3 linked regions of the Nothobranchius furzeri genome follow. The protein of the gene in region 3 interacts with the protein of the main gene of each other region in a pairwise test. Links are inferred from orthologs where the notes say so. Each region holds a gene or a part of one and is shown on either strand. Other genes may lie near its edges.

The links. The genes of interacting proteins can lie anywhere in the genome.
Region 1: the proteins of ndufaf3 (region 3) and snrpa interact in binary tests that used the Homo sapiens proteins (3 or more experiments, as listed by UniProt). The two-hybrid records come from large-scale screens. The link is inferred for Nothobranchius furzeri from reciprocal best matches to the Homo sapiens genes NDUFAF3 and SNRPA.
Region 2: the proteins of ndufaf3 (region 3) and ndufaf4 interact in binary tests that used the Homo sapiens proteins (3 or more experiments, as listed by UniProt). The two-hybrid records come from large-scale screens. The link is inferred for Nothobranchius furzeri from reciprocal best matches to the Homo sapiens genes NDUFAF3 and NDUFAF4.

The regions. Positions count from the first base shown.
Region 1 is NC_091753.1:42,104,658-42,108,790, reverse strand, and holds snrpa (U1 small nuclear ribonucleoprotein A), read left to right. Parts: upstream 1-1,445; 5' UTR 1,446-1,572; intron 1,573-1,882; 5' UTR 1,883-1,890; coding exon 1,891-1,966; intron 1,967-2,077; coding exon 2,078-2,250; intron 2,251-2,338; coding exon 2,339-2,497; intron 2,498-2,636; coding exon 2,637-2,801; intron 2,802-2,877; coding exon 2,878-2,966; intron 2,967-3,122; coding exon 3,123-3,282; 3' UTR 3,283-3,583; downstream 3,584-4,133. UniProt on the Homo sapiens protein: Component of the spliceosomal U1 snRNP, which is essential for recognition of the pre-mRNA 5' splice-site and the subsequent assembly of the spliceosome. U1 snRNP is the first snRNP to interact with pre-mRNA.
Region 2 is NC_091743.1:89,859,124-89,862,865, reverse strand, and holds ndufaf4 (NADH dehydrogenase [ubiquinone] 1 alpha subcomplex assembly factor 4), read right to left. Parts: upstream 2,278-3,742; 5' UTR 2,137-2,277; coding exon 2,001-2,136; intron 1,933-2,000; coding exon 1,844-1,932; intron 1,225-1,843; coding exon 919-1,224; 3' UTR 551-918; downstream 1-550. UniProt on the Homo sapiens protein: Involved in the assembly of mitochondrial NADH:ubiquinone oxidoreductase complex (complex I). May be involved in cell proliferation and survival of hormone-dependent tumor cells. May be a regulator of breast tumor cell invasion.
Region 3 is NC_091743.1:68,500,070-68,504,169, forward strand, and holds the start of ndufaf3 (NADH dehydrogenase [ubiquinone] 1 alpha subcomplex assembly factor 3), read left to right. Parts: upstream 1-1,297; 5' UTR 1,298-1,364; coding exon 1,365-1,453; intron 1,454-2,897; coding exon 2,898-3,093; intron 3,094-3,199; coding exon 3,200-3,266; intron 3,267-3,724; coding exon 3,725-3,825; intron 3,826-3,895; coding exon 3,896-3,997; 3' UTR 3,998-4,100. Other genes in the region: nckipsd (NCK-interacting protein with SH3 domain), read right to left, coding at 1-31, 527-697. UniProt on the Homo sapiens protein: Essential factor for the assembly of mitochondrial NADH:ubiquinone oxidoreductase complex (complex I).

The DNA.
Region 1 (4,133 bases), on a different chromosome or scaffold from region 3:
TTCATGGTCTAATACGTAGTTAACCAATACTTACTGGTAAACACCCAGTCTTATTCAGAGACTAATAGGTATGTTTTTGTGCTTTACTAGGGAACATATTTGTTCCTCAGTAGGTACTTGGGAGAAGGCTTCACTTTAAGCTAGACAAAAGCAGTAGGTAATGGTTAAGTACCTAGTAGGTACAGATTAGTACCTTCTAAGTTGGGAGAAGGCTTCACTTTCCATCATCTTGCGATGGACGGATGCCGACAATGGACAAAAAAGTGACAGACGTGTGAAGTCAAGATGAAACAGTGATGTTAAATCACTGTGATGTTGCAAATTATCTGCATTGTTCATGAAGTTTACAAAAAAAAAAAGTCCACAGGCACTACATTCATTTGGGATTTGTTCCTTAATGCGTTCAAAGATTAGTCCCTGAATAAAACTGTTGGGTTTTCACCAGTATGTATTGGTTAACTACCTATTCTTCCCTGCTTCATTACTCATTACTCCCTAAGTCGTTCCCTAGTTACGAAGCATAATTTTACGTACCTTATTGTAAAGTTACTGTTATTCTTCTTAGGTTGTCTACTCTGCCTTTTTTTGACGTCATGTTTTTCCAGTATTTCTGATTTACTGTTCAATTCAATTCAAAAATACTTTATTAATCCCAGGGGGAAACTGATTGCTGTAGTATCTCAGAATAATAATAATAATCAAGTCATCAAAGAGTTATTGTATATTACAATGGCTGTTGGCAGGAAGGATCTCCAGTAGTGTTGCAGCGAAACTGAAGAAGCCTCTGACTGAAGACACTCTTCCGTTGTCGGACAGTCTTGTGAAGAGAATGCTCACGGTTGTCCATAATTTTCTTGATTCTCTGGAGAATCCTTCTTTGCATTATCTCCTCCAGTGGTTCAGAAAGTGCCGAAACTCTGACTGAGTCCTTGAAAGGGCTTGGAGTTCCTCCATCTTGTTGGCCAGTGATCTCACATTGCCCATTATGATCGATGGGAGAGATGGTTTGAATTTCCTCTTTCTCTGTCTCCGTTTTGCTCCCGCTCTGCACCCACGCTTCTTGCGTTTTAGTTAATTTGGGATTTGTCGCGTCAGTTGAGGTATTATTTCAGCCTTTTCAATGTTAAACAGCTGCTCCCGATTGTAAACCAGCTTGTTGCCATGGTTACGCATCATAACAAATGCTCAAAAAGTGAAAAAACCTAAACAATAGCAGCAAAAGTCCTCCAAGCTTCACAGCACCAGAAACAGAAAAGTAAAGTGTCCAAAAAAATACCGTTTTTCTTGAGAAACTAGAAGAAAAAATGTCCAAGAAAAGGCTAAACTTACATATAGTTAACAGAGCTACTCCAACATGCAGCCACCCAGAGCAGCGTAAATAAGAAGAAAAACCATTTTAGTTTTAGCCATTGTAAGTTAAATGGTGTTTTGAGTTTCGCTATTTTGATTTACACCGTGTGGTGGCGGTAATTCACCAGAACGGTTTGGTAACCAACAAATAAGACAAAGAAGAAGAATTTCTTCCTCTTGTTTTCTGGGGAAAAAAGTCTCGGAGCTTTCATTCAATTTCAGGTTGGTACTACGTCAACATCTAACGCGTTTTACATGGTTAAGTGCATTTTAACTGTTGATTTAAAATATTTTTGACAAGCTTAAACGATTTGAGGTAACGTTGGAACTAGTAGAAGTATTTAGGCAGATTAATGACGCTAAATGCTGTTAGTTAGCTTTTAGCTAACACGCTGTTGTTGCCTTCCGCCATGTTTGTTACCATTGCGTTTAGATGCTGGATTTTTGAATGAAATTGGACTTGAAACTGCGTGAAAATAAGCACATGTTTGAGTCTTTATTTTATTTTTAGCTATTTTATTTATTCTCCTAGCCTTAAACATGACCACTCCAGCAGAGGTGCGCCCCAATCACACGATCTACATCAACAACCTAAACGAGAAGATAAAGAAAGATGGTGAGTTTCGCATCATTTTCTTTCCTTTTCTTTGTTTATTTCACGCACAATTAATGCAAAGTCTCCTTTATTATTGTTATTGATTATTTGTTGTTTGTGTGTCTCCCTCAGAGCTGAAGAAGTCCCTTTATGCCATCTTCTCTCAGTTTGGGCAAATTTTGGACATTTTGGTCGCACGAAACCTGAAGATGAAGGGTCAGGCGTTCGTTATCTTTAAAGAGATTAACAGCGCTTCTAATGCATTAAGGTCCATGCAGGGTTTTCCTTTCTATGATAAACCTATGGTACGTCTATTAAACATGTTTAATAATGCACAATTTAGACATTTCTGATGGAAGTACACGTGTGACTCAAATATATACTTTCTTGCAGCGAATCCAGTACTCTAAAATGGATTCGGATATTATAGCTAAGATGAAGGGGACTTTTGTGGAGCGTGACCGTAAAAAAGAAAAGAAGAAGCCCAAACCTGAATCTACAGGAAGTAAAAAAAATGCTGCAGCGATTGCTGGGGTACCTTCTGCAATCCCAGTGAGTGCACTAGGTGTTTTTTACAATCATGGTTAAACAATCTAGATATTTGTTAGTGAAGTAACGGCAGGTTTTAGATGCATTAAGAGTTAAAAGCTCAATTAACATGAATAGAAACTAAACGTTTGTCATTCTTTAGGGAATGCCACCAATGAACCAGGCTCCTCGCATGATGCACATTCCAGGCCAGCCACCTTACATGCCCCCTCCTGGAATGATGCCTCCTCCTGGGATGGCTCCAGGCCAGATTCCTCCTGGTGGGATTGCTCCTGGTCAGATGATGCCAGGACAGATGCCTCAGCAGGTAGCTTGTGTTCTTTTTCCTCACAGAACGTTTTGTTTCCTGTCCTGGTAGTTTAATCCTTACTCTCTTCCCACAGGTTTCAGAAAATCCACCCAACCACATTCTCTTTCTCACCAACCTGCCAGAGGAGACGAACGAACTCATGCTGTCCATGCTCTTCAACCAGTCAGTACTCATTTTCTAGTCATACATTTAAACAGATGCGTAAAAATGGATCAACTTTGACTGTTTTGTGATGCTAACATTGCAAATAATCTGAGAATTTAATTCTCTCAAACTGTTTTTTCTGTAATTGTAACTGAGCTGCTCTGTGCGTTAAAGGTTTCCCGGCTTCAAAGAGGTGCGTCTTGTTCCTGGTCGTCACGACATCGCCTTTGTGGAGTTTGAAAACGAGGTGCAGGCTGGCGCGGCACGAGATGCTCTGCAGGGCTTTAAGATCACTCAGACGAACGCCATGAAGATTTCTTTTGCCAAGAAATAACGCATCTTCCACCAGGTCCTGATTTAATTTGCATACATGTCCGTACATGTAAGTATCTGAGTCAAGTTGCTGTTAAGAAAGTTGGAGTGAAAAACTGGGAGCTCTAACTTTGTGCAATGGTTTGGCTTTAATCTGTAATGCTTGCGCAACTTGGTGTCCACTTCTCTGTTTTTCTGTTTCATAGTTTAAATTTTTTATTATAAACTGTTAAAGCATTGCACCCAGTGTCTGGTCCACCAGACATTGTACCTGGAGCTATTCTTTTTTTTTTATCTTGATTAAAATTTGAATTGGTAAAACACTAGACTGTTCTTTCTTTCGCTGTGTGTGTGTGTGTGTGTGTGTGTGTGTGTGTGTGTGTGTGTGTGTGTGTGTGTGTGTGTGTGTGTGTGTGTGTGTGTGTGTGTGTGTGTGTGTGTGTGTGTGTGTGTGTGTGTGTGTGTGTGTGTGTGTGTGTGTGTGTGTGTGTGTGTGTGTGTGAACAGGTTTGAGCATAAAGGATAACTCAACATTTCCTGTCTGAAATGTCAAAGAAAGGAATTGAGTTTAGAGTTGCATTTGCTTAATCAAGCCAAGCCAACTTTGTTTATAAAGCACTTTAAAAACAGCCCTCGCTGACCAAAGTGCTGAACATAAAAACATAAAAGCATAAAATAGAATACAGTGTAAGGTTAAAAGCACACTAAAATAAAACACAAATCAAATAGAAATCCAAAACGTGTTGAAAGCCAAGCTAAAAAGGTGGGTCTTTAAAGATGATTTAAAAGTTTCCAGTGAGGAGGCCTTTCTAAGATGTGCCGGCAAAGAGTTCTGGGAGCAGCATCAGCGAAGGCCCTATCCCCTCAGCTTAC
Region 2 (3,742 bases), about 21 Mb from region 3:
GTGATTTGCAAATTTGTGCTCGTCCAGTCTGACGCTGCTACAGCTTTGTTAGATATCGCAGCGATCTGTGACAGATTGGTACTTCTCTGTACTTCAGTGGGTTATTGTGTGTAAAGGAGGAGGAATGACGAGCAAACAGAATCAGCTGTTGAGCTGGAAGATGGGAAAAGGAGACCCGCAGCCGGAGTCTGACGCTAAAGCAAGGGTTTGACAAACGAAGCTCCTCCTTTGAGGACGGCGAGTTGGGTAGGGAACGGACACTGAAACAGTTTTTATCTTTTCACCTGTTCTGGTTAGCGGTCTGCTTTGGGAGGTGCGCTCATGACGCAGCGTGTCCTGCTGGAGAGACGTGGTGCCGTCTGCCTCACTGAGACCTCTCGCCGTAATGTGTGACATGAACAATCCTTTGCAACGGCCACAAATCACAGGTTTCCCCGGACCTTTCTTCCCGCTGTCGCCTGTGCTGTCCAGAATGGAAGTTTGTGTTTGAGGGATGCTTCAATCTACCCTTTCCTTTATTTAGTGGTTAATTTGACAAATTTGCATTTTATAATGAATCCAGTTTTTATTACGTTTCACTTTTTTATTTAGTCGGAGCCGGACCTGATGTTTGAATGTACAATCTGATGTTATAAAGGAAGCCGCTCCAGAGTGACACAAGAAGCTAAATCACAAACCGTTATTGTGAAGGGGACACACACAGGTTGAAACAGAAGAACCAGAGTGCTCTTCCAGCAGCAATGTAGAAGCTCCAACTAGCTTGTGTTAATACCAGCTTTTCTGAGCCTTCACATAGGTTAGGAACCTTCCATCGTTCCAAATTCCAACAAAACTCACAGGGAACACATGGAAAACCAAGTTCTTCTCCCAAAGCAAAACCCAGAAGTCTAAGAATAAGTGAGCAGGAAGACTCCAGTCCTAAGAAGCCTTAATCTGCCGTGCAGTTCCAGTCTTGGGAGGTATGATCTCCATCCTAAATGGGATGAAAAACTCTAGGAGAGCTCTGGTGTCTTTTAACTCGAGGGAATATTCCTGTGCGACCTTTTCAGGCGTCCAGGTTTGGGGCTGGTGCTGGTGACCTCCAAGGACCTTCAGAGCTTCTGGAAGGCTTAGTTTGCCTTTGGGAACATCTGTGAGCTCCACCAGGCCCAACGCATTTACTGGGAAGTTAACGCGGAGAGGCCTCCGCTCCACTTCCTCACCCACCGTCGCCTCCTTGGATGCCTGAGAGAAGTTCAAACACAAAATCAGAGGATGTTCCTTCATGTGTTTAAAACGCGAGCGTGAAAAGGTTTCGATCAGACCGCCAATGGGAAAGGCTTCGTGTTGGGTTCGCTGAAGCGTTATAAGCCCAACAAATACCCACTCCTTGTTTATTGTAACAGCGAACCCCTTACACTCTGTAAAACCACAGAAGATGTGTATCAGCATCAAATCAAAGATACTTTATTAATCCCAGAGGGATTCTCCCGCTCCTGATAATAACTTTTTGCTTTCCTTGACGTTGGATGTGCTACTACTAGTTTACCCGTTGTGTGTGTAGCGGTCGATACTGTTGTGTGAGGTCTGAAATGTAATGATGGCCAGCAATGGCACACTTCTGGAGCCAAGGCAGCTGACCAGGTGAAACCAGACCCAGCTGGGTCCTCCTTCTGGGCCGAGACAGTGATGGTGAGGGAGTTAATGGAAGCCAGTGGGCGGCTGTTTACTGACTGGTTTACACAGCTGATGATGTCGTGACCGAAAGCTGGTCTGAGGCACAGACCAGAGCTGATCCGGGTCTCTGACCTCTGACTTTAACGGTAACTACCGCAGCGGGGGGGGGGAACAGGTGAGCTCTGACCTCTGTAGAAGCGGGATCTCTGGACTCCACGTACACGGACCTGAGCAGGACCTGCAGGGACTCGCTCTTCTGTTTCACCGACTCCGTCACTGGGACACACAACACACCGTCATCCACCGCCCCTGACCCTGCCCGGTGCCCTCCCCCCGACACTCACCGTCAGGACTGGCCGCGGGAGGAGGAACATTCACCGCATGTCGGGGCGCTACCTTTGGCTTTTCCTTGGAAATTTCCCGAAGCGCCCGATTTTCCAGGTTGACATTTCGCAGCATTCGCCCGACCCGTGCCCCCATGGTGGATGACTTTAAACCACTTCCTGGTCTACGGCGAGCGACGAGGTTCTTTTGACAAAAAAAGTACCGCCGACAGCGCCCTCGCGCGGTTGGAGGACTCTGGGGTATTATGAATAATGAGGTAATAACGATGTGTGCAATACTGGAACCTCTTTTAGTCAGATACCTTCCTTTTGTGTCTTGAAAAAAGAGCTTAAGCTTTATTTGAAAACAATCTCCACCTCGAACAATAACAAAGCCATTAAGACACTAAGTCTCTGCTCAAAATTTCTAATCTTTCCATAATTCATACTCTGCTGCATGTCTCGTATTGTTTCCTGTTTCGATCATCATTCTCATATGTTTCATAATTTGTATGCAGTAACCCCTGGCGTTGAATCTGTTGGTATGTTTTTGTTATGTTTATACTGTTTCCATGTACTTCATAGTGGATATTGAGTCTTTTGTGCATATTGACTGTATTGTTAACGAACCAATATCCTAAATAAAAAATAAATAAATAAATAACCTCTTTTAGTCAGAAATGTCCATATTGTTGGGAACTTGTTTCCTTTTAAAGCTCAGGTCGTTTCAGCTGATGCTTTAATCACACAGAGTGAAGGTTTCCTCCATCGTGGCTGGACCACCAAATACCAAATAGAATATTTACTAAGACATCACAATAGAACTGTAGACACATTATTGTGTGTGTGTGTGTGTGTGTGTGTGTGTGTGTGTGTGTGTGTGTGTGTGTGTGTGTGTGTGTGTGTGTGTGTGTGTGTTCTCCATCCCCAGTGAGTCGTGAAGGATGGCTGCTTATACTGAGCCAGGATTCTCTGGAGGTTTCTTCCTGTTAAAAGGGAGTTTTCCTCTCCACTGTCGCTATATGCTTGCTTAGTATGAGGATTACTGTATAGTCACTGACACTAGTCAGTGACTCGATGCAACCTGCTGGGTTCCTTATATAGGAAACATTATTTCTGATTGGCTTAATGAACTGACCTGAATTGGAATGTTTACTATGTGAAGTGCCTTGAGACGACTCTTGTCGTGATTTGGCGCTATATAAATAAACTTGAATTGAATTGAATTGAATTGTGCTGCTGGTGACATCTTAACTGTTGGGAGTTGGTGGACATGTGACACATCAAAAGAACATCTAACATGTGGGGCAACAGTAGCTCAGGTGGTAGAGCGGGTTGTCTCATGATCAGAGGGTCATGGGTTCGATCCCTTGGGCAAGACACTTCACCCAACTTGCCTGTGTTAGTGGTGGTCAGAGGGGCCGACGGCGCCAAATGGCAGCCTCGCCTCTGTCAGACCTCCCCAGGGCGGCTGTGGCTACAAGTAGCTTACCATCACTAGCAGTGTGTGAATGTGAGAGTGTGTGAAAGCGTCTTTGGGTGTCTAGAAAAGCGCTATATAAGTTCAATGCATTATTATTATTATTATTATTATTATTATTATGTCTCTCTGATGGGCTCGGTCCCAATCCTATCCATCCTTCACTCCCAAAGAGAACCTCAACATCTTGAGCTCCACAACCTCCAATCCTATGATGTCCTCATGGACACTGTCTCTAAACCAAGCAACATGGCTGCTCTTACTAATGGCTTCTACACCTGAA
Region 3 (4,100 bases):
TGGACTGCAGGACCTCGTCTTGCTGTGGAGCCTGGCACAAACACATCGACAGAAGCTGAAGGGATGAAACATTCATTACTGTGGCAGCATGCAGGATTATTAAGTGTGTGACTGGGTCAAACTGGGACAAGCTGGGAAAAAATGGGACTGTGATCTAACAACACCCTACATTCAGGCTTAATTAAAGCTGCACAGACGGTGTTATCAAGTACAGGAGGGAGCTCTCTTCTTGTGACACAGCCTACAAGCTCTGACTAGTTCCTGCGATATAACCAGGGGTGTGACCACGAGGAGAGGAAAACAATGCTTTCTTGTCTCTGTTATCTGTTGCTGTCCCACCCTGTGTCCTCTCAGCAGCTTTTCGACCTGCAGCCTTTATAATAAATTAATGCATGCGATTTCCACCTGACTAGACAGCTTGCTCTTGGCCTGCCCTGCTGCAGACAGCACCACTCTCAGGGTTCCACTCCACGCCTCGCCTCTATTCACTAAATAGGCAAAAACGGGGGTTAAAAGTGAGTTTTACCTGAATCTTTTCGATGTAAGAAGCAGGGATGTAGCCGGTCTCCCCGGAGCTACAGCGGGACCCCAACCACCAGTGTTTGTTGCTTCTCTCCAGGATTAGAAAGCTCTCTCCGGCCGCGAAGTGCAGTGAGTTGGGCTCCACGGATCGGAAGGCGTACAGAGACCGATACATGATTTAGTTTATCTGTAACAAACCGAAAAGTGACACAGAAATAACCTGTTATGAAACAAAAACCGAATGAAAAGATCTGCTCCGCAGGGGTGATTTAAAGAGCCCATGAAGTCTACGGTGAGCGGCTCATGTCTATTTACAATGTAGCTCGGATCATCTGACCTGAGCGAGCGCTACCAGAACAGGCCACAGGGGGCACTGATACACCCTAAATACGCCTATCAGACAGTTTAATCAAACCCAGAGCTAAAATCTAATTTGATTGTGAAAAATGTGTAATACATTTATTTTCATTTGAAGTGGAAACATTTATGAAGTTACAATTAAATGATGTAAAATGTAAAAACATTTTACTTGACGATTAAAGTAAGGTTACGGTGTTGTACACACGCAGGGATAGAGATAGTTTTTCTTCCATCTTACATTTGCAGAAAGGATTTCAGCATTTTGAATCCTTGTAAATATGTTTCAATGTTACATTATTTGTTTCAGAAAGAGTTGAATTATATATGTATTAAATACACACACACACACACACACACACACACACACACACACACACACTGTTGGCGAGATAAGAAATGTTCGATTGTGCTGTGCATAGCACCGGAAGCAGCTGCCTTAATGGTGTCACAGAGAATTCCGTTCCCCTGTTATACTCGTCAACATGGCCACTGCGGTGTGCAGCAGGATGCTTTTCCAGAGGTCGACTCGAGGATTTCTGTCCTTTTCCAATACAATTCCTGCTTTCTCTTGGTAATTTAATTTTTTCAACAAAAGTATAGAAATCCTATTAGTTAAAAAAGAAAATAAGGTCAATTGCAGAGTTAAAAGTTGGTGTGATATTGAATTGAAAGTGTTATAAAGGTGATGTCTGTTTTGATAATTAGCCTTATTAAAGTTGTATAGCATTATTTTATAGTATTTAATAAAGTGTTTTAGTGTTTTTATTTCACTGAAGGTTTAAATTTCCCGCTTTATTGATGCTTTATGAATGTTCGTCGGTTCAATTTCCTTAGATTTACTTAAGGTTAGCCTCAAAATGGTTACTTATATCTAGGGTAATTTTCAGTTTTAGTTAGTATAATCATTTTCAGTCTAATTGCGCAGTTTAAAGTGTGTTGCTCAATCATTAAATCTTCATATATAATGTGGAAGTATTATTCAAAAGTCTTATGACTATTTTATAGCTCACATGTGTATGTTAATGAGATTTCCTTTACAGGAAGTGTGACTTGTGATACTTTGCAGAAGTGTTGCAGAATAGATGCAAACTGCTCTCCAGACAGCAAGAGTCCAGTAGGTTGCCGTAGTTACAGTTCAGACTTGAGCAGAACTTGTGATGAAGTTCATAATAAATAACAGGAAATGTATGTCTGAAGCAGATGTAAATGAGAAGCAGAAGATAGATGGACACAACATAACTAAAATGTTCCAGTACAAGTTAGGGAAAGTGTCCTTATTTGGTGAAAACTGAACTATTGACCTTTTATTGCTGATCAGAAAAGATGATAAACTGTTAAAGTGTGTAAAGGTGCAGAAGGAACACCCTTCTTTCAGTAGAGAATGACATTTGATGTTTAAATTCACTGACAGGACCTCCCTATGTGTGTGTGCTTGTGTAACTTTCAAATTAAAAGGCTGAGGGGGAAACTGAAAAATCATAACACATTACCAGGTTACTGCTCGTGTGCATCTCATCTCAGGCCAACCAAGATCTTGTGTGTGTACATGTTGATGCTTAAGGTGCAGGTCTCTTTTCAGGCTCACCTCAAAAGAATCAGGAGCAGAGTGAGAGAGGAATTTACTTAAAAGTAAAGAAGAATCTCACCGCAACAATTACTGGAAGTTTTGTTGAATGTTATGAAAAATAAAATGTGTTTACATATTCTAACAGACTAATTGGCTAATTTAGCTAATGTTGAAATTAAAAAGCATTGATTGTGTAATGTGATGTGTACAGTGTAAATTAAGCTTTTGGCTGAGGACCCCATCAGTAGGTGGTTTGGCAGATCTGCATTCCTCTGACTTTCTAAGAATATTAAAACTATGGAAGAATATACACACACTGGATTTATTCATTGTCCGTTACTTGTTTTTCAGTCTAGAAACAAGCTTTGCATCAAGTCACTGACAATAAACAACAGAATAAAGCCCATTTATTATTGTTTCTAATCTAGTTTTCTGTCTCTTTTTCCAGCCCATTTCTGTCTCGCGCTCACAGATTGGAACCTGGTGATGATGAGTTGTACCAGAAAACCACGGTGTCCATCATGAAGAAGGAGGCAGACAGTGGGATCATGATCCACAGCTACAGCCCCATAGGATTTACCGTAGATAGTAACCAGGTGCTCGGGCCCTGTGCTCTGCTGCCTCCTGCCATCCTGCAGTGGAACGTGAGGTTCATCTCCAGATGTTCTACACAGCTATTAGTGTGCCGCATCACATCATTCTGTTTACAAAAACTGATCAAGAGTTTGTTTTAACTGTCTGGTTCTGCAGGTTGGTAGTCACGAAGACATCACAGAGGAAAGCGTCTCTCTTTTCCACATGATTGCACCAACAATTGGTATGAATGAATGCACACTGATATAAAGATGTTTGTGTTTGGCCCGTTTTAATCTTCACTGGTCCAATTTCATCACCTCAAACTTGGGTTTTTTAGCTGCTTCATCTTTAAGAGAAAGGAATTAAAACAGGTTGTAGCTTGAATGATGCTGCAGCTTCCATGATGTATTATTGCTAGACCACAAAAACATGCAAACTCCTATAGAAGACCCCAGAAAGTATTTAAATGGTCCTTCTAGTGATCTAGTGAGAAAAGTAAAGGAATTCAGCCATTAATCTAATCCCTTCATGTTTTAATGATAGTATTGCAGGCTGCTATTTCTCATAGAAACTTGCGTCAATTGTATACTTTAGGTGACCATTCCTAGTATTTTCTACTCTTTATTCTGTCTGTGTGTTTATATGTAGCTAATCATTTAAACTTAAACACTTTTTAATGTTTCTTTCTGGTTTATGAAGAGATTCTTGTGCTGGGAACAGGAGCCCGGCTTGAGCGAATCAACCCCTTAGTTCTTGCCTTACTGAGGCGTAAAGGCATCGCTGTGGAGGTGCAGGACACGGTAAATATTTGTTCAGCCTTCATGACTCTCAAACCACAAATGTTTTTATTATTTAAACTTTTTTTTGCAGCCGAACGCATGTGCAACATTCAACTTTTTGATTAGTGAGCGAAGACTGGTCGCCGCTGGTCTGATTCCCCCGTCTCTGAGCAAAGCTCTGGATATTAAATGAGACTAAATGTGGTATTGTGAGAGTGAAAGCAGGACAGACTCACTTTGTTCCAAGGTCAGCCGGCAGAGGAGCTTCCAAATGTGTCCAGCTTTACCGAACATTG